Danio rerio: one gene and its partner. The protein of the gene in region 1 interacts with the protein of each later gene in a biochemical or structural test. Links are inferred from orthologs where the notes say so. Each region holds a gene or a part of one and is shown in the gene's direction. Other genes may lie near its edges.

What was found. The genes of interacting proteins can lie anywhere in the genome.
Region 2: the proteins of rrm1 (region 1) and rrm2l form a complex in vitro, tested with the Homo sapiens proteins (3 studies listed by BioGRID and IntAct). The link is inferred for Danio rerio from reciprocal best matches to the Homo sapiens genes RRM1 and RRM2.

Annotation. Positions count from the first base shown.
Region 1 is NC_133196.1:33,448,845-33,460,074, reverse strand, and holds the start of rrm1 (ribonucleoside-diphosphate reductase large subunit), read left to right. Parts: upstream 1-3,620; 5' UTR 3,621-3,788; coding exon 3,789-3,807; intron 3,808-4,439; coding exon 4,440-4,528; intron 4,529-5,859; coding exon 5,860-6,037; intron 6,038-6,127; coding exon 6,128-6,228; intron 6,229-6,324; coding exon 6,325-6,384; intron 6,385-6,459; coding exon 6,460-6,499; intron 6,500-8,460; coding exon 8,461-8,623; intron 8,624-8,733; coding exon 8,734-8,875; intron 8,876-10,944; coding exon 10,945-11,028; intron 11,029-11,106; coding exon 11,107-11,230. UniProt on the Homo sapiens protein: Provides the precursors necessary for DNA synthesis. Catalyzes the biosynthesis of deoxyribonucleotides from the corresponding ribonucleotides.
Region 2 is NC_133195.1:32,242,981-32,253,502, reverse strand, and holds the end of rrm2l (ribonucleoside-diphosphate reductase subunit M2), read left to right. Parts: intron 1-942; coding exon 943-1,089; intron 1,090-1,637; coding exon 1,638-1,754; intron 1,755-2,051; coding exon 2,052-2,185; intron 2,186-2,216; exon of another isoform or gene 2,217-2,352; intron 2,353-2,415; coding exon 2,416-2,510; intron 2,511-2,627; coding exon 2,628-2,761; intron 2,762-2,836; coding exon 2,837-2,941; intron 2,942-4,024; coding exon 4,025-4,138; intron 4,139-4,296; coding exon 4,297-4,449; 3' UTR 4,450-5,175; downstream 5,176-10,522. UniProt on the Homo sapiens protein: Provides the precursors necessary for DNA synthesis. Catalyzes the biosynthesis of deoxyribonucleotides from the corresponding ribonucleotides. Inhibits Wnt signaling.

The DNA of each region.
Region 1 (11,230 bases):
CCTGAGTAAACAACTAAGGTGTCACAAGAAATGGATGAGAATAGAGCAACACATGTGGAAACAGTTAAGTATAGATGGATAAGAAATATGGTTATCAGGTTTGGGTCAGGGGTTAAAACTAGGTGGGATCTTGTGTGACAAATCAAGAACAATGTGAAAAACAGCTGCAAAAGAGTATATAAGCAGGCCAGAACATCAGTGAGGCAGAATTTTCAGGCAGAGATGCTACTGGGGGTCTCCTAAAAAATCATCTTTGTTGTCGACAGTAAAGTATCATCTTCTGATATTCATAACCTCTAGACTGAGTTTGATTCACTAAGAGGAAAACCAAAAACCACAACAAGTGCTTATATTATGGTAAAGTGATTTGGATAAATGAATGGTTAAACTAATTGCCTGATGGTTAGAGAGTTAGAATTGTGATCGGAAGGTCAAAGGTTCAAGTCTTGGGAGTCTCCTGGAGGGATTGTCTGTGGTGGGAGCGAATAGCCAGCGCTCTCTCCCCCCTCAATACTGCAATGCTCATTATCCCAGTGCTGAGTTGAGTCCCTTGACCAAGGTGTTTTCCTGCTGCTTGTGTGGGTGGGTGTTCACTTCTGTGTGTGTGCTCTTGAATAGGTTAAATGCAGAGCACAATTTCCGAGTATGGGTGGCCATACTTGACCACAACTTTGACTTTCACTTTTTTCCCTTTCACTTTTTACTAAGTTAGTGTACTCCCAGTTAAGGATGCAACGATTATAGATTTTAATTGTAAGATTATAGTCTGTGGAATAATCACAGTTTCACGGTTATAGCAATTATTATGCATTCATTAATTTCAAAACATGACTAGTTTAGTAAATCACATGAAAACTTCTTATTTTTTAAAGTGTTGTCTATTGTTGCTCAGTAACCAATCAACACAGCACAGAAAACAAATAATAGCCCGTTTACCTTTGGAACTGAAAAAACATTTTTGTTTTTACATACGTTTTACATACAAACATACGTAACAATTTTACACTGACAAATTAATTTAATTAAAATTTAAATAAATAATAAAAATTGTGTTTGTCTAATGTAAATTTAAGCTTCATACTCGCTAAGTATCTTCCTTTTAAAGAGAACAAATTTGGTCAAAGGCTGCTGAACCTCTGTCTAAAAGGCACTTTTGATCAACTATATTGCTCAATTGTTTAGTATTTTTTTGTTTAGTATTTTTCTTTATCTCTTTACTGTAGAAATGTGTATATTCCATAAAAAGTATGACGCTGATCTGTTTCGTGACTTGCAGTACACTCGCGGCGTGTTGTGCTGCATGAGTGTTGCTCCTAATATGAGCGTGCAAGTCGCACGCCTGTATTGGAATTAATAAACTTGCGCGCACAAAAGAAGCAATATATGAACAGCCCTTAGTTATAGCCTCAGCCATAGTTAATCCAGTGTGCGTGCATATTAGCCTTGTTGTACACGCTTGGAACTTTAAACTAGCCCACAATTGGCTTAACTTTGTTTAGTTGCCCTAGTTTTGTTCCATGCAGAAACACAGTGTTGATAATCTTTTACGAATAATTAATCGTGACGAATTAAATCGCGGTTAATAGTGAAATCTGTTAATCGTTGCATCTTTACTCTCAGTGCTTGGTTGTGGTATGAAGGGAATCCATCAGTAAAATATATGCCAATTGGCAGCTCATTCTGCTGTGGCATCCCCTGATAAAGCAGGGAATAAGCCAAAGGAAAGGACATTTTTAGCCATACAAATAACTGTGGCACACAAATGTTTAACAAACATGATAAGACTGCTGTGTTTGCAATAGTTTGCTCATTTTTGTTAATATTTGTTATAAAACATTTGACGAAGCTTAGTCTCTTTATTATTCTGAGATCGCCATGAACCGCCAACTAATGCGACATATGTTTTATGCAGGGGGTGCCCTTCCAGGTGCAACCCATCACTGGGAAACACGCACACACAGTCATTTACTCACAATTTAGCCAATATAGCGTACGTCTTTGTACTGTGGGGGAAACCGGAGCACCCGGAGGAAACCCAGCCGAACACGAAATGCCAACTGACCCAGCCGGGGCTCGGACCAGTGACCTTCTTGCTGTGAGGTGATCGTGCTACCCACTGCACCACCGTGACGCCCCAATATTAGATGTTACAAAATTGTAGATAAACACAAAACACACTCACACACTGTCCTCCAGCTTTGGCCCTAATTTATTAAGGGTCACCACAGCAGAATGAATCATCAATTACTCTGGCATATGTTTTATGCACTCATAAACCCCACACATACAATCACATACAATCTATCATTCACACACACTCATACAATATAGCCAATTTAGTTTGTCCAGTTCACCAGTATGCATGTCTTGTGGTAGAAACTCGTAAACACAGGGAAAACATGCAGAAATGTCACCTGGACCAACTGGGACTCAAGCCAGCGACCAGTAAGGAGATAGTGCTACCCACTGGGCCACCATGCCGCCCCTTAAACACACTTTACTTGCTTGTAGTTTTTATTACCCATAAGTTGGAAACTGTGGAATAGAAGGTGGCACGGTGGGTCAGTGGTAAGCACTGTCGTCTCACAGCAAGAAGATCGCTGGTTCGAGTCCTGGCTGGGTCAGTTGGCATTTCTGTGTGGAGTTTGCATGTTCTCCCTGTGTTTGTGTAGGTTTCCTCCAGGTGCTCCGGTTTGCCCCACAGTCCAAACACATGCGCTATACATGAATTGGGTAAGCTAAATTGGCTGTATTGTGTGTGTGTGTGTGTGTGTGTGTGTGTGTGTGTGTGTGTGCGTGTGTGTGTGTGTGTGTGTGTGTGTGTGTGTGTGTGTGTGTGTGTGTGTGTGTGTGTGTGTGTGTGTGTGTGTGTGTGTGTGTGTGTGTGTGTGTGTGTGTGTGTGTGTGTGCGTGTGTGTGCGTGTTTGTGTGAATGAGAGAGTGTATGAATGTTTCTCGGTACTGGCCTGCATCTGGCTGCTGTGTAGAACACATGCCAGAATAGTTGGCAGTTCATTCTGCTGTGGTGACCTCTGATAAATAAGGGACTAAGCTGAAGGAAAATGAATGAATGACTGTGGAACAGAATTGCAAAAACATCTAGTAAAAAAACACATTGCAGATGCCAGATATAAAGAAAATTATGTACTTTTCCACAACTTCTTAAACTTTTGATTGCAACTTTAAAAAATAATTCATTATCTCTGAAACTTACCTCAGATTTGGTTTTATGTAGTTATTTACATGCATGAAGTTACAAAAAAATACCAGCAGAGGGCCATGCTTAACCCGGATGCCTTTTGTAATGGTTGGCCACTATGTGTCGCTATCTATAATTTTTTTTCTTTGCAGAAATATTTCACTTCTTGGAAATGTCTTAATTTAACCAGTGTTAGACCATTTTGAGTATCTGTACATTGTCATATTCATGTACTTTTACAACCATGTAAGTAGCTTTTCAGCTGTTTGATTATATGTCATTTCTTTTTGATACTCAAAAAAAAAATGTAACGACTACTTTCCTCTTCCGTCTAGTAAAACTGACAGCGACGAGGACGAAGAAGAAGGAGCGAGAGCCCATTAGCTGAGATTTGTTTGACGGAAATGACGAAGTCCATTCTGGCGGCTTTTAGCGCGCTAAGAATTTCATAACAACAGTCTGACGGAGCAGCTGAGAAGCCGGCCAGCAGTGCAGCCCTTTGTCCGCTAAATAAACCTGATCATTTTTATTAAAAAGTGTACAGTTTTTCTTCTCGCTGGCCTTTCTAACTTTACCAGATACCTCAATCATGCACGTGATCAAGAGAGGTAACACTTTTACTCTTCCTTAAAATAACGTTACTGAACTAGAGAAATATATACAAATGTAATGTAATTGCGGTTTATAAAATGTTCTTATCGTAACCATTATTAACCTGTATTATGTCTGTACATCGTGAGCGTTAGTTGAGCTAACGTTATAATTTACAAAATGTTTTGCCGTTAAGAGATGAACGTCAGTCAGTTTAGTCTGTTTAAAATATTGATGAACACCACACATATTTATTGATTGACTGTTATTGGGTTCATTTTTGTAACTGCATAATTTAATATTTGAGAATAACATAATTGCGTCCATCTTGGCAGCAGCCGATGTTCACGTAACGTTAGCTGTTCCCTTTGTTAACTCAAAGTTGGCGCGAATCGCTTCGTTAAAGTAGGTCAAATTTTATTTGACAGTATTTGGCTTGAATATCGAATATTAAGTATATTGTGATTTAATAGACTATGCTAGCTAAAATGTGCAATGCTATACTCGCGAACAGCACATTTTATGGACCTTTCATATTATTTGCGTTTCATATCCTGTTCATGTATCATTGGTTATAGATTTGTACTGTTATTACATTTATATGGTTATCTTTAAATAATTTGTTTTATGACTATATTTTTTTTCACAGATGGGCGCCAGGAGCGTGTAATGTTTGACAAAATCACATCACGCATCCAGAAACTTTGCTATGGACTCAACTCTGACTTTGTTGATCCAGTAAGTTGTGAAATGTCCATCAAGACATCTTAAATTTCAACCTACGTCTAGTGCAATTATTTATTTACTTTTTTTATTTAATGATTTAAGAAAATCCAGTTTTTCTAAAAACTGACCCTAGTTTGAAAGCTCATGTGAGTACTCTCGCTTCTTTTCCTCTGTTGGGCCAGTATTGACAACAGACCGGGTCAAATCAACAGCTTCAGACCTCAATGAGTGGAGAACTCCTCCCCTAACCCCACCCCTCACAGTGACGTCACTAGCTCCATTGAGTGCATTGTGTCTTGACATTTATTGCATTTCCGAGACATGCAATGTCAGTTTGCATATGAAAGTCTGCAAGCAAATGCTATTAAAATTGTTAAGGCAAAAATAGATTAGCAGCATTAAAACCTGCTTTTAACACACCACCACAGAACCGCTCAACACAACTTTACTAGACAAAGGGAAATTGAATGAAAATTGGTTAATCACAACAATTAAACTAAAGTGAGCAGTTTGTATTTACCTTTTAAACTCCAGATTCTACATATGACCAATAGTTTAATACATAAATTGACATCAATTTGTTGTTGTAATTTTTGCAGGTGTAGTGTCCCTCAAAAAAAAAAAAATATATATAATTAGCTTTTAGCATCACGTAAAAACAGACCCAGATATTGATCAGAATCCTTATCACATGATCAGGAGTTATTTCAGGCATGATTAATGGGCAGCATGCGTAACTCTCCTGAGTTAGGTAAATGCTGTTTTTGTTAATGACCACTCCTCAAGCCCTAGTGAGCCCACTTTGACCAAAGGCCCCAAGGCCAAAAATAAATTGCACTTTCCCCAAAATGGATCAGTGATTTATTTATTTTTTTCATGTCACCTTGTGCTTCAGTTTCTCATTAAATCTTCTGCCCAATCAAATGCTCTCTAGTATCTGACATGTCCTGTCACCTTTAAGACATAATTGCCATCTGTGCTTGAGCTCAACCACTCTCACTGGCAGGGCAATGATAAACTTAACTCGATTGCTGTTTTTGGGGGGGTGAGGAGCCGTTTTATGTCCTGCCCTGTCTTCATGTTTCAGTTTAAATTACATCAACAACAACGCACATTTCAAAGCACTTTACAGAATGTTTAAGAGTGGACACCCTAGTAATATTTGTGCCAAGAAGATCATTAGCCTTACAAAGTTCTCATGTATCCAAAACATAATATTAAAAACTCGCACAACATCCAGTCTTCTTTTAGTCCTGTATTATACTGGAGGTAAAATTTTCTAAGAAACCAAATGAGAAGATCTAAACCTAAATGGTTGCAACACGCATGATTTTGCTCTGCAGACTCAGATCACCATGAAGGTGATTCAGGGCCTTTACAGCGGCGTTACTACAGTAGAGCTGGACACACTGGCTGCTGAGATCGCTGCCACCCTCACCACCAAACACCCTGACTATGCCATCCTAGCAGCCCGCATCGCCGTGTCTAACCTGCATAAAGAGACTAAAAAGGTTTTCAGTGGTGAGTTGCGACAACCATTGATTTAACTTCAATGATTTAACTTCAGTTGAATTACAGTGTTTATAAAAACTTGCCTTCTTCCATCAACAGAGGTTATGGAGGATCTCTACAACTACGTCAATCCCCTGAACAGCCGCCACTCGCCTATGATCTCCAAGGAGACGCTTGATATTGTTTTGGCCAACAAAGATGTAAATATGCACATTTACACCAGCCACAAAGTGATTTGTTTATTTATTATTTTTTAAAATCTAATGTAGAATTAACATTATTTTTCTTTATTCTAGCGCCTGAACTCAGCCATCATTTATGACAGGGATTTCTCTTACAACTTCTTTGGCTTCAAGGTAATTCTAAAATAAGAGAAATTGCTAGTTTGAATTCATAAGCGATGCTAATCTCAGTTTTAACCTTTCTTTTAGACATTGGAGCGCTCATATCTGCTGAAGATCAATGGAAAGGGTAAGTCATTAATGGGTCTTAGGAAATTTAGACATGCAGTTCTGCGAATCAATTCTCTTAATCAAAGCAACTTTATACTTCTACACTGAATATTTGCAGTAGGTCCAGTGTATCCTTAAGGTTGATTTATACTTCTGCATTGAATGATCACCAAAACTCACGGCGCATGCGTCTATTTTTCTGCGCTGTGTTGCTCTGGCAATAAAACCTCAGAAATAAAAAAAAAAACACAAAAAAAACACCTATCAAGTTGACCAATCACAAAGCTTTCAATATGCATGGTGACATAGTTAAAAAAATTGAGAGGTGTGTGTGTGTCAGGGTTGGCAACTGCAAATGATGTGCTGGCTCATCCATGTGCACTAATCACAGAATTATTTATCAGGCTTTAGCTACATCTCATAACTATTTCCAAATCCTGATGTGCAGCTTTAAACAAGATGTCTACATGTCACCAGAAGAATAGGGATGAGAAACAAAAAATTGACACATCGTGATTTTTAAAAAAAATTTCCCTAATGATTCTGAATCAGTTCTCAGTTTAAATTAGATATGCCGGCCTGTGTGAGTTAAAAGCAAAGAAATAAGCATTGACGGGTATGCGTTCATATGCTGCCAAACAACACAATTCAGAAGTCCACATGTGTTTGTTGAAATAAACACAGCACATTTTACAATAAAATGGTAATTACCTAAATTACCAAAAGATGCCTTATTACCAAAACATGCCTTATGACACTTTGAAGTGGGGTTGAATAAATGTGTAATCTGCATTTTGTGCATGTAAACAGATGGCTTTTTAGAGTTGTTGCTTGGTAATGCAAAATAAATACAGCATCTCCCATTTTCAAAAAAAAAAAAAAGTCCCGCATAAATGGTAAGATAATATAAACATAAAATTAACTGGGAGGAAAATGGTAATTCTCACTAGGAAATGTTGTGGCTTCTTAAACAGCCTGAGGCATGTATATCAATTACTTTAAGTGATATAAGTCTGTGTTTTTGCATGAATGCTAATGCCGTTCCGGCTAATGTAGAACCTGACCTAAAGTACATGCAAATGATAGGGAGTGGCCAGTGAGTCATACAAGAGTCCATTGTTCTGATTGACTTGCGATTATCGGGGTTTTACATTTGCTGTATTTACATTAGAACGAGGAAACCATAGTGAGGCTCACCGTATGCTCATTTCTATACTGAACTATCATTATTCGACTATGCCTAGGTATATCCAGATTGTATTTGTAGGGCACATATATGATTTCTAGAATGTCGTGTTTGGCTGGATTCAGGATGTTGTTCAAATATCTGCCGCACCAAGTTGTTAGCGCACTCTTTCAGTGTGTAAATCAATGCAGATAGGGTGGCATTAATGGGATGCATGGACACTTGACTACAACAAAATCACGTCATGTTATTGCACAGTCCATTACAGATGAGTTAAGGCTTTCGGCTTGTTCTGCAAATGCAGGTTGTGAATGAAAGCGAACTACTGCACGAGCAAATTGTTGCAAACTAATTAAAAATTGTAAATCTAAATCAGCCAAGAAAATTGCAATTGGTACGTCTGTACCAGTAACTGTTCTGTAACTAAATATCATGATGACACAATATTGTACCCAAGGCACGGAGCTTATTTGCAATTTAAAGCGACAGCAGCATCAAGCATCACTCAAAAAAGGCACATTTACATCAGGGTATAATAATGTCCATGAGGTATTTTAAGCAGAAACTTCAGCCACATTCTGGAGACGCATAACACTTATATTACATCTATGCAAAACAGTCAAATTGTGAAACGAGTAAACAAGGAGGGCAGGAAAAGAGTGACGACGATCTAAAGAACAGACCAAAGTTTGCTTTCATTTCCAGTGAGAGAAATGCAAATGAGATGAACAAAAAAGACTAACCTGAACAACTGAAGCAAAGATTCTTATACCTTGAGTGCTTTTTGTTTTCAGTTGCCGAGCGGCCGCAGCACATGCTGATGAGGGTGTCCGTAGGCATTCATAAGGAAGACATTGCGGCTGCTATCGAAACCTACAACCTGCTGTCTGAGAAGTGGTTCACTCATGCTTCTCCTACTCTGTTTAATGCGGGCACCAACCGGCCTCAGCTCTCCAGGTAAACACTAAGAACAGTAACGCTGCAATTAGACACAAGAGGGCAGAATTTCTAAATTAATGTTTAATTGATGTAATACAAACCAGTGCTTCTTTTTTTTAAATGTGTAGTTGCTTCCTGCTTGCTATGAAAGATGACAGCATTGAGGGCATCTATGACACCCTGAAGCAGTGTGCGCTCATCTCCAAGTCTGCCGGTGGCATCGGGGTGGCAGTGAGCTGCATTAGAGCCACTGGCAGCTACATTGCAGGAGTGAGTGTTCTCTGATTTTAAATTTGCTTCACTGTAAGGCTTTTTGATATGAGCAAATGATCATGATTAAATTCATACGATTAATTAATCTCTGTTGATATTTAATAATTATTACTATGCATGTCAAATCTCATTTAAAGACAGCGTACAAGCCTTTGTTAATTTAAACTACTTTTATTATTATCAAAACATCACAAACACCTCAACCAAATGAACATTTTGCAGATATGGGGTACAGTATTCATAATAATATGAAAACTTAATCTTTTTGCCAGCCTTCATCCTATGCTAAATAATTTTATTGATTTATGTTTGGTAAAACAGAAGCTGTAAAATTGTATTTAAACATCCTGTTTTTTATTTCTTTAATTTAGGTGTCATCTATATCATTTAGGTCAGGGTTGTCCAAACTCAGTCCTGGAGGGCAGGTGTCCTGCATATTTTAGTTCCTACTGCAATTAAACACACCTGAACCAGCTAATCAAGCTCTATATATACTGGAAACTTTCAGGGAGGTGTTGAAGGTAAACTATGCAGGACACTGGCCCCCCAGGACTGAGTTTAACACCCCTGATTGAGGTCTTCGTAATCATTGGTAATACTCGGTTACCTGCATAAGTACCTCATCATTGCAATGTTGAAATGTAAAGTGTGAAAAGCGTTAGGCTGAATATGTTGAGTACAAATTCAGGTGCTTTTAAACAACTATTACAGTTTTTATATTTCATTACTCCTTTATTACAGTTTACACGTCTACATTAAAAGTGTGATTGGGGATGCTGCTAATATTTGATTTACCGTTAACTGAAATAATTGTGTTTTTTTTTTTTTTATCTGATTCATGGTATCTGTTGAACTGTTAAATGGTATTGATGGTTTCAGTTAAACAACAGATTGCTTTGATTTAGTGTACAACCAACAAACCAACCTTTTTTCAATATGGAAAATTACAGTTATTAATAGTTTTTATAAAAAATCCATTCTTGATCTTTCCATAACACCTCACCAAACCGAGACTTTTATTTTATAGCTATATAACCTACAAAACATGTTTGCAAATCAGTGTAATACTATATGTAAACGAAATTAGTACATGCTAAAGTAACATGTAGCCTCCTTTAAAAGTCAACATATGCACCTTTTTATCTCGTTCCTAATCTAAGCGCAGTCGCAGCAGTGTCGGCGGGGTCTTAAAGTGTTAAAAGTTGATAAATCAATTGAGAAAATTAAGGCCCTTAAAAGAAATTTAGAAAGTCGTAATCTTGTTTTTACGAGGTCTTAAATTTTGTTCAAGCAATGTCCAAAGTATTTGACTTCAAAAAAGCATAAATATATTTATTTTCCTCCTAATATTAACAACGGTGTGCTCGATCCACACGATTGCTTCGGGCCGGGGCCTCTCCGGCCAAGCTCCTCCGTCCGGGTGATGTCCCGTAACGCGGGAAGGTGATAAATGCAAGCTTGCATACTCCTTGTTAGAGGAAGACAAGTTTAAACGGTGACTGAAGCCTGTCGCTGAAAACAACCACATTTATTATTTCAAGCTTTGTTTCTTCTGAGCTTGTCTGAGTTCTGTTGCATGTTGTGCTCCATTGATTTATTTAACTACAACTGTTTATTAGCAACTGTTTATTAAGTTAAAGGTTTGATACTGATTAGAACTTAGTGGCGATGAGGTCTTAAAATATTCTGAGAAGGTCTTTAAAAGGAAAAGGTATTGAAATTACCTTTTAGGATTCCTGCATATAAACTGGACCGGTTAATATTTGGTTAACATGCGGCGGTTTATCGGTTTGGAAAATTAACCAAAATGAGACTCCATAAATGTGATGCATCTTTCTCACAACTCTATGGTACAGTTACTGGTACAATGGTATATTACATGGAAGAACCTTCTAGCTGAATTTTTCTATTTGTCAGTGACTTACTTTGAAACATGAACATTATATCAAGCAATAATTGTTTTATCAAGTGAATGTTCTTTTGCAATAATTATCATTTATAGTTCAATCACCCAAATCATACTATTAGACTCAACATTTGGATTTACTTCATGTCTTGTCATTTAGACAAATGGTAACTCAAATGGCCTGGTTCCTATGCTCCGTGTCTACAACAACACCGCACGCTATGTGGACCAAGGGGGAAATAAGGTAACGTGTTTGCAAAATGTGACTTGTGTAAAAGCAGTGCCTTGGGTTGGAAGACTGACTTTTCTTCTCCTCCTTCAGAGACCAGGAGCTTTTGCCATGTACCTGGAGCCTTGGCATTTTGACATTTTCGACTTCCTAGAGCTTAAAAAGAACACTGGTAAAGAGGAGCAGAGAGCCAGAGATCTGTTTTACGCCCTCTGGA
Region 2 (10,522 bases), on another chromosome or scaffold:
TTATCTGATGTGGTATTAAATGTTTATCGACTTCTGGAGCGATGTCTTTAAGTTGTAGATAAAATTTGGCGGATTCTGAGCGCGCTAAGTTGGGCAGGTAACATCAAACTTATCCGGGTCTTTTTGGAAGAACAATGGCTCATTAAACTAGTCCAGCTGAACGGAATTAAAAACGATTACTTAAAACTAGGGTGATTTTTGTGTTTTATGCTAGTTAATAAAACAATGCATGAGTTTGGCGGGCGATTAGCTTGAGCTGATGTAATGTTGCATAAACGACGCAGAGTGTATGCTAAACATGCACTTTAAAGTGCGAATACTCCTTTTCTGTACAATTCGATCAATATTTAGATGGTTTTCTTATATTTGCACAACTTGGTCTGGTCAATCAGAAAAGCTCTTGTTTTGCCGAAAAAATATAGACCGGAAGTAGTATTACTGGGAATGATCAATGCACCAAAAGCAAACAAGATGGTCTTATTACTATTATTATTTATTTGTTTTCTGGTAAACGAAGGAAATCGTGCTAATATTCCAAGTTACAAGAAGTGGAAACCCAAATGGTGTATATAAAATGTTTGATACTTTAATACAGCTGAGTCTTCTCGTTCATACAAGCAACAACTTTCCATTATCTAAGACTTTTTTTTTTTTTTTTTTTTTTTTTTGGGAAATGAGAACCAAAGCTAACCAGACTTTAACGAACATTGTCAAATGCTAGCTTAGTTAGTAGCTTAGTTTTTAGTATATTTTTTATATACCATTGAATAACTTGCTATTATTATTTTTTACAAAATGGTCAAGAATTGCAAGTCTTGAATAAAATGGTTAATAGCCCAAACAGAAATGAGCTTATTGCTAAAGATTGTTTTTATCCTAGTTACATGCACCATAAGCCCTAACTCATGTTAGTTTGTTACATCAAACATGTTTTAATTGCAGGGGCAGTCGAAAGCAAAGAAAGGAGCAGTGGAGGAGGAGCCTCTTCTGAAGGAGAACCCCCATCGCTTTGTCATTTTCCCAATTCAGTATCATGACATCTGGCAGATGTACAAGAAGGCAGAGGCCTCTTTCTGGACAGCTGAGGAGGTGAACTTTAAAACATAACACCTTAACACCTAGAAATGCCTCCATTTAATATGCTGTCCTTACTAGGTGCACCGGTCAATCTGGTTTTGTCAAAGATCCTGAAAATTAGCATAAATATGAATGAGAAATTTATTAGAATTGATTTAAATTAGAGTATCTAATTAATAAATTTAGCAAAGTTTTTAATAAACATGTACCAAATCAGCAATTTAATATTCCTGCAAAAGTGCTAGCCATTTATCAAAACATGACCAAAGAGACAAGTTTACGAATTTAACATGCATTTATTAGTCAAATTTACAAGTTATTTTTTTTCACAACTAGTGCTCTTTAAATGTACTTGATATAATTAATCCTCCTTGTTCTCAAGCTATTAAGTAACTTGTCCTTTTCAGTGTGTTCTAATGGCCCTGAATATAATTTAAATGTCATTTAAAATTTGCATATTGCCCTTGGCTAATAGTTTAATGTAACATTCAGCCTTTATTTGCTAGCATGCTTTTTATAGTTGCAATGTTTTGAACACTTGGGTTTTTATTTTTTCTAAGGTTGATCTGTCCAAAGATCTGCAACACTGGGATTCCCTGAAAGACGAGGAGAGATATTTCATCTCCCATGTTCTGGCTTTCTTTGCTGCAAGTGATGGCATTGTCAATGAGAACTTGGTAAGCTCATAGGCAAACATTTACAGCCTGGCTGTCAGTCAATTTCTGAAGGGCCACAGTTTTGCTTTAGCCCTCATCAAACACAGCTGATCTAAATAATCTGTTCAAAAGAATCTTGAACCCTTAATTGGCTGCATCAGATGTTTGGTTAGGGTTGAAACAACTGCAGCGCTGTGGCCCCCTTCAGAAATTGACTTATACCTATGATTTTACAGGATTTAATTTTTTCCCTCCCCCCCTTTTTTTTAATTTATTTATTTTGTTAATTGGTCCTTACCACTTGTCTTCTGACTCTAGGTGGAGCGTTTCACTCAGGAGGTCCAGGTGACTGAAGCCCGCTGCTTCTATGGCTTCCAGATAGCAATGGAAAACATCCACTCAGAAATGTACAGCCTGTTGATTGACACCTACATTAAAGATTCTAAAGAGAGGTAAGTGTTTGGACCCGTTTTGAGGTTATTGGGAGCAATGATGAGTGGCGCAGGGGTACGTACCTCAGCTGATAATGGGAGCTGAGTGTTGACTGCTCAAAATCAGTGGACATGTGGTCAGCTGGTTGTAGGGTGTCAGCACGAAATTATCGCCTTGACTGAGCTCCCTAAAAATGCTCTTGTAAATGGTACCTAGTCATTTATCTGACTAATGAAATTGTTTTCTGTAGGGAATTTTTGTTCAATGCCATTGAGACAATGCCATGTGTAAAGAAGAAGGCTGACTGGGCACTCAACTGGATTGGTGATAAAAATGCACGATATGGTATGTTATAAACATACTTTATTAAAAAGGGGAAAAAAAAGAAAAATAATTATAATAAAGTATTAAAGGAAGTTTATTATTAAGTGACCGCTAATTTAAGTCTTGCACTGGTTACAGGTGAGAGAGTGGTGGCCTTTGCTGCAGTGGAGGGAATCTTCTTCTCTGGGTCTTTTGCTTCTATTTTCTGGCTAAAGAAGAGGGGACTCATGCCTGGACTCACCTTCTCCAATGAGCTGATCAGCAGAGATGAGGTAACCCTTTTGTCTACCTTAACCCTAGTATGCACCTATTGTAGAATGTGGTACTAATGTTTCTTATTCTTGCAGGGTCTTCATTGCGACTTCGCCTGCCTCATGTTTAAACACTTGATCAACAAACCATCAGAAGAAACCGTGAAGAAAATCATCATGAATGCAGTTGAAATTGAGCAGGTTTGTGAGCCTTCATAACAAGTGCTTTCAGTCAGGCCAGTGTTCATTTTCAGGTTTACACAAAGGGCAATGTTCATTAAAGTTCTTGCTGAATAAAGCTAGATAGGTTTCATCAGCATGACTACAGGGCAGTTGTTTTTACAGAATAAACTGCCCTGATGTATGTAATCTGGCTGCTTGTCACAGAACTGAACTATTAGATGTAGTAATTTAACTTTATTGAATGTAACAAACAAACATGACTGAACACAACCTGCAGTTCCAGATTTGAATTTTCTTTAGTTGAAGAGCTGCATGTTAACAATGGATTAATAAACTTACTTTTTTTTTTTCTTCTCTTGCATTTGAGTGCTAGAGTAAAGTAAAGCCAGATTTCGCTTGAATGATAAAGCTTGTGGTTTAGAAGACAGAACTTTTATTCCGCTAAACACCTGCCATAATGTACTTTCTTGCTTGACAACTTAACTACAATTGCAGCCTACAGTAACTTACTCAGCCACAAGATGGTGGCAAACAGTCTAAAAAAGGGGCAAGAAAGAACTGAAAATTGACTAATGGTCAAGATCACTGGTGCTCAACGCTGTACCTGGAGGTCTAGCTTCCTACAAAGTTCAGCTCCAACTCTGACCGAACACGCATGAACCTATTAATTAGAACTAACATGCGTTGCAATGTCTTTGGCTTTTCAGAATCAACTATTCCAGAGTGCTGTATAGTATTGAGATGTAGTGTGGTCGATCATATGATAGATATTCCCACTTTATACAGTTTTATGTGTGCTTTGACCACTTATTTATTGGAAAGGAGGGCCTATGTATCAGTCTTTTTTTTTTTTTTTTTTTTTTTTTTTGACCCCTTATAAATAAGGGACTAAACCAAATAAAAATGAATAAATTGTCTTTTTTTTTTTTTAATAATCAAGTCAAAGTATTTTCAATTGAATGGGTAGACAAGACCTGACAGGGTATGTACTTGCATTTTAGTGTCTTCTACTTGTAATTGCATCCTAAAGTAAAAACAATACAGGGCATATAGTTTTAATAATTTTTGTAAACCACAAATCTGACTTGTTTATCTTCCTAGGAGTTCCTGACTGATGCTCTTCCCGTGAAGCTCATTGGCATGAACTGTGACCTGATGAAGCAGTACATTGAGTTTGTGGCTGACCGACTGTTGCTGGAGCTGGGATTTGACAAGGTAGGTTTATTTCATTAGTCTTGAGTCTGCTCATGGTGGCAGTGTAGTCCTTGTAATGTCTAATGATCTGAGGTCTGTCACATGTCAAACCCGTTTTGTACTTTCAGTTCAACAGGTGGCACTTTAAGCGTCACTAACCTTCCAAATTGCCTTTCTAGGTCTATAGAGTGGAGAATCCTTTTGACTTCATGGAGAACATTTCGTTGGAGGGCAAGACCAACTTCTTCGAGAAGCGAGTGGGCGAGTACCAGCGCATGGGAGTCATGTCGGGAACTACAGATAACACTTTCACTCTGGATGCTGATTTTTAAAGACTCAATCTGAGTGCTTCAACGGACACTTAACACAAAACTATGGACTTCTGGGACTTTTGCTGTATAGTTTACATGTTTTTGTTTAACTTTGTTTTAGCGAGATTAGTATTAAATAAGCTTTTTATTTTTGTTTTACATAATAAAAAAAAAAATTTGAATTTCAACTTTTTGGATGAGGTATTGCTCGAAGTATCAAGTTAGGTTTTTCAAGATATGGTGGCTCAATTTAGCCCAGACTCTATTTCGTGTAAATGAGGTAAAATGAGTTATGGAGATTTATACTGCATTTAGTAGCTAGCTTGCCCCAGAGCAGACTAATAAGGCTAAGACTAATCCTAGTGATTTTCTGTTAGTAATTCATTTAAGTTACTCTGGCCATTTACTTATATTGGCAGTATAGATAATATTTCTCACTTCCATATAAAGTATGGGATCGACTCATAAATTAAGGTACAAATATAGAAACATGAATGGATAAAATAGATGCTCCAATATTGGGTAAGAGTATGCAGTTAGTTATTTAATAAACTTTCCTGCATAACATGGTTGACTTTTGGTCACATTTAACACAAAGTAAACCACTGCTAATTTGATGGTTATACTTTGGTGTAGGTAACTTTACAGCATCTTCCCAAACCAGAACAGGGTTCGAGACATTGCCACACTGTCCATCAAATTTTTTTTTTTTTTTTTTTTTTAAATCAATAAAGAGAAAAATCGTTACCCTGGCTTTCAGAATTTTACATTTCATAACTAGCTTTGCTATAAGAAGCCAATAAATAGTGATGTGTATATTAGGAACTGCCATTAAATGATTCAAGCTTAGTAAAAGAACTGTTCACCAGAAAATGAACCTTTACTTAAGGTTTACACCTGTGATCAAGTGGTTCCAAACTTAAGAATTGCTTTCTTGTTGAACACAAAAATATACTGTGGTGAATGGTGAAAAAGCCTGCTACAGACAACCATAGGAACAAAAAACTAAGTCAATGGTTTTTAAATTATTATCTTTTTCCCCCCACCAACATTCAGTTCAACGATTGCTTCCTTTTGAACACAAGTTTGATCAAAAGGAGAATTTTCATTTTACTGTGAGCTGTCACTTTAATTGAAGCCTAACAGTTAAATGCACTATGATGGTTTTCTTTATGCTCATCTGTAATGAACATCAATGCTCACATGGAAACTTCTAAAGCACTCAATATATTTATAGTAGCCATTATCTAGGGCACTCCTGGCATGAGCTGTTGAGCAGTCGCTCTCTTGTAAGTGCTCTCGGGACGTTTTGATACTATTTGTTCATGGGACAACATGCACATCAACTTAAGAAAGAAGTCTTTTGACCTTTTAATACGGCTCTACAATCCACAAACTTCTGCTTATTGCATGTACTCGAACACATGTTACATCTTTCATTGCTGTACGTTTCTATTTTAGAGTTTGGGCACAACTGCCATTGAGTTGTCAGTTGATTTGAGCTGCTGTGAAAACGGTGATGGATGGTCATGAAGGTCTGAATCTTACTGTTAAAGTGAGAGTATATCAGAATAAGAGCAGCGATTGACTCTTGGACATGTAGATTACTGCGAGGATCATTTCTCCAGGTTTTTCTCATTAGCGTGCCTGTCAGCGGTCCATTCTGACAACAGCTGCTTTAGTTGACCCATCCACACACAGTAGATCTTGTTAGCAGCCATTATATAACTAAACAGCACAGTGCTACAACAACAGGTATTATAAGCCTTATGTCCATTGTTTAATGGAATAGAGAACGATATATGCTAAAAATATAATATTTAAACTATAATTTAGTTTTTTTTGTACTGTATGGGAATTTGGGAGACTGATCTCTACAACTCTTTTTTAACTGACATCTTTAGCAGTCAGTGTATGTTTTTAGTCTTCCACACACATACAGTGTATATATATATATATATATATATATATATATATATATATAATATCATGGCCACTTTATTAGGTACACCTGTCCAACCGCTCATGAACGTAAATTTCTAATAAGCCAATCACATGGCAGCAACTCAATGCATTTAGGCATGTAGACATGGTCAAGACAATCTGCTGCAATTCAAACCGAGCATCAGAATGGGGAAGAATAAATAGAAAGGTGATTTAAGTGACTTTAAACATGGCATGGCTATTTGTGCCAGACAGGCTGGTCTGAGCATTTCAGAAACTGCTGATCTACGGGGATTTTCCAGCACATACAATTCTAGGATTTACAGAAAATGGTCAGAAAAAAAAAAAATCCAGTGAGCGGCAGTTACAGTATGTGGGCACAGATGCCTTGCTGATGCCAGAGGTCAGAGAATGGCCAGACTGGTTTGAGCTGATAGAAAGGCAACAGTAACTCAAATAACCACTCGTTACAACAGAAATATGCAAAAGAGCATCTCTGAACACACAACACAGTGAACCTTGAGGCAGATGGGCTACAGCAGCAGAAGACCACACCAGGTGCCACTCCTGTCAGCTAAGAACAGGAAACTGAGGCTACAATTTACATAGGCTCACCACAATTGGACGATAGAAGATTAGAAAACATTGCCTGGTCTGATGAGTCCCGATTTTTGCTGAAACATTCGGATGGTAGGGTCAAAATTTGTTGTCAACATGAAAGCATGGATCCATCCTGCCTTGTATCAACTGTTCAGGCTGCTGGTGGTGGTGTAATGTGTGTGGGATATTTTCTTGGCACACTTTGGGCCCATTAGTACCAATAGAGCATCGCGTCAGTACCACAGCATACCTGAGTATTGCTGCTGATCATGTCCATTCCTATATGACCACAGTTTACCCCATCTTCTGATGGCTACTTCCAGCAGAATAACGCACCATGTCATAAAGCGCGAATCATGTCAGACTGGTTACTCGAACATGACAATGAGTTCCCTGCACTCAAATGGCCTCCACAGTCATCAGATCCTCAATCCAATAGAGCACTTTTGAGATAGTGGAACGGGAGATTCACATCATGGATGTGCAGCAGACAAATCTACAGCAACTGCATGATGCTATCAAGTCAATATGGACCAAAATTTCTGAGGAATATTTCCAGAACTTTGTTGAATCTGTGCCACGAAGGATTAAGGCAAAAGGGGGTCCAACCTGGTACTAGTAAGGTGTACCTAATAAAGTGGCTGGTGAGTATATATGTAATATATATCTCCCAAATGATGTTTAACTGAGCAAGGAAATTTTCTCAGTATGTCTGATAATATTTTTTCTTCTAGAGAAAGCCTGATACTCAAATCAATACAACCTTACATTGTATGTTTCATATGATGAATCTGCTTGATGAAATGCCATGCAAACTCTGCAGCCGCCATCAGCTCAGAATATGATCCCCATCAGTCTCTTGAATAAGGCCGTGCAGGCTCGTGTCACAAACAGGTTGATCAACAAACTATTGTTCCCAAAGTAATGAATGTTTAAAAAGCATTTGGGCCCAACAGTTGCCACGCTCCAAGAGGGGGTCTGCTGGTGGGCGCAGCTGTCTGAAACAGGCAAATCCTGTGTCCCCTTCATGTCCATTTAAGGAGATGGGACCCTGTCAAAATGCTTGTGTTGGTCGCCTGCTTTGTTTGAGCACCGGGCCTCCCACACCGCAGCACGTCGCTAATAGATCATAGCACAGTAAATATTGCCATGCTAGAATTACAGCTGTTACTGTACTTTAATAGCCCAGTAGGAACACCCAAATTCATTCTCTTATGTTTCCTGCGTGTTTTTCTCCAGACCTCCATGTGGATCGTTTTTCTAATAATTAAGCAGCCCAGAGTAATTTGGCTGGCACTATGGTTATACCACCTTAAGGCATTGTTCAAATGTTTATGTAAGATATTTGTTAAGTTTGTTCTTAAAACAGTATTGACTAATTAAAAGAGATAAATCACCTCATCATTTACTCATACTCAATTGATTTTAATATTTTATTAATTACTTTCTTTTGTTGCAAAATTTTCTGAAAAAATGCCGTAAACAGCAGCCACTAACATCCATAATAGTAACAAAAAATATTAAATAAATGGCTTTTTTCCACAACATACTTCAGTATATTTTTCTTTATATCCAACAGAAAAATCTCGAACAAGTGGAGGACGGGTAAAGATGGCAGAATTTTCTATTTTAGCTGAGGTGTCCAAACTCGGTCCTGGAGGGCCAGTGTCCAGGAGAGTTTAGCTCCAACCCTAATCACACACACCTGTACCAGCTAATCAAGCTCTTACTAGATATGCTAGAAACTTCCTGGTAAGTGTGTTGAAGCAAGTTGGAGGTAAACTCTCCAGGACACTGGCCCTCCAGGGCAGAGTTTGGACATCCCTGCTTTTAGGCAATAGTTTTCAATTGCAAATATTAAACATGATTTTATTCTAGTAGTCTATTAACCTTCTATTTTTGGACTGTTGATTACAATTCACTGATACTATAGTTAAACTGCACTGTAAAAATTTATCAGTAAATAAACAGTTTTCATATTTTGGGATTCACAAGTGTTTTCTGTTTATTTACGGTTGTGAATCATATTATGGGACCTTGATCTCTTCTCTGTCAACTTTTGATGTTGAAAATGCAACTCTACAGTTTAACAAAGTGGCTTTTGTTGACATTTTAGTAGCTTGAAATAATATATTGTATAAACACAATATTTGGAAACAAGTTTTTTTTTACCTGGCAGTTTTTTTACAAGGTTGTTGTATTGTAATGTACAACACCGACAAACCCAGACAATGTCACATATTACATTTAACAAGGCAGCAATACAAAAGCTCCAAAAATACCAATTTATACAATTATAAAGGCTAACACAAAGTGTGTAACGTTTCGAGCACACCGGCTCTTCATCCGACTATTTAAACTACTAAAAATGTTAATAAAAGTCACTTTTTCGAACTTTTCAAGGTTAAAAGTTGATGGAAGAAAGAGCAAGATCCCATAATGCAATTCATAAGCCTAAATAAATGGGGGAAAAATAAAAACAGGAATACAGATTTATGAATATTTTTTATAGTGTTGCTATCAAGCAACTGAAAGCTCTAAAATGGCTCCTTTCAGAAGCAGCATTTCAAGAAAGGAAGGCACCAACGAACGTCCAAATCCAAATTCTGGATCGCTTCCTTTATTAGCAGGTACCTTTTTCTGATCTAATTTTGATGACAGCATAGATGCATCCTTCACTGTTGTTGATATCCCACAATCCTGAGCATTCCATTTCTGACTGCTGAGCTAAAAATATAAACCTTTATTGGTATCAACTTTTATGTAATGTATGTTCTTTAGTGAAATGTTCTACTTTTGATATCAGAAGTTACTACTTTAGTAAACAAATATTCTCTTAGTAGTCATGAAAGTTCTATCTAATTTAATGTACATGAATAGATGATTATGCTGGCTCAGAAATCTTTTTTTTTTTTGTTGAGCAAAACATGGTTAATTTTTGTAAGAGTTACAATCATCTTCAAAACTACTGTCAGTGATCTAACTGAGTGATCTCTTTAAATATGAAAACATTCAATTATCCACAGGGGTTCAGCCAATTTAAGAATACACTTCATATATGAAATCACCAATAAAATCTGCCACCAATGAAAATTTGTTTCTTGCTTAAATAGGAGGTTGAGATCTTATTTTTCAGGCTAGACAAGTGAATGTAAAATTGCACTCCATTTGGAACACCCTCCATTGCCAAAAACACAGTAAAATAGAGGAGTGTCTGTTATTTTAGTTTATCACAATTTAATTGTATTGCTACTTGCATTTGAATGTTCTGCCTAGCACATTGTATACATGCGCTCAGCAGTAGCAGCTCACACCTGGTACGTATCAAGTTGTACAAAGTCAATTGGTACGCAATGACTGATGGGTAAATTTCAATCTCCACTTCATGTTAAGTATAGATACTCCCCGTTTCCAATTTGCTGAATAAATTCACCCCCTTGATCATGGAGTCTAATGTAAATAGGATATCAAAATGCACTAACAGTGAGATGGAACATAATTTGACTCATTCGTTCATTTTCCTTCAGCTTATTCCCATATTTATTAGGGA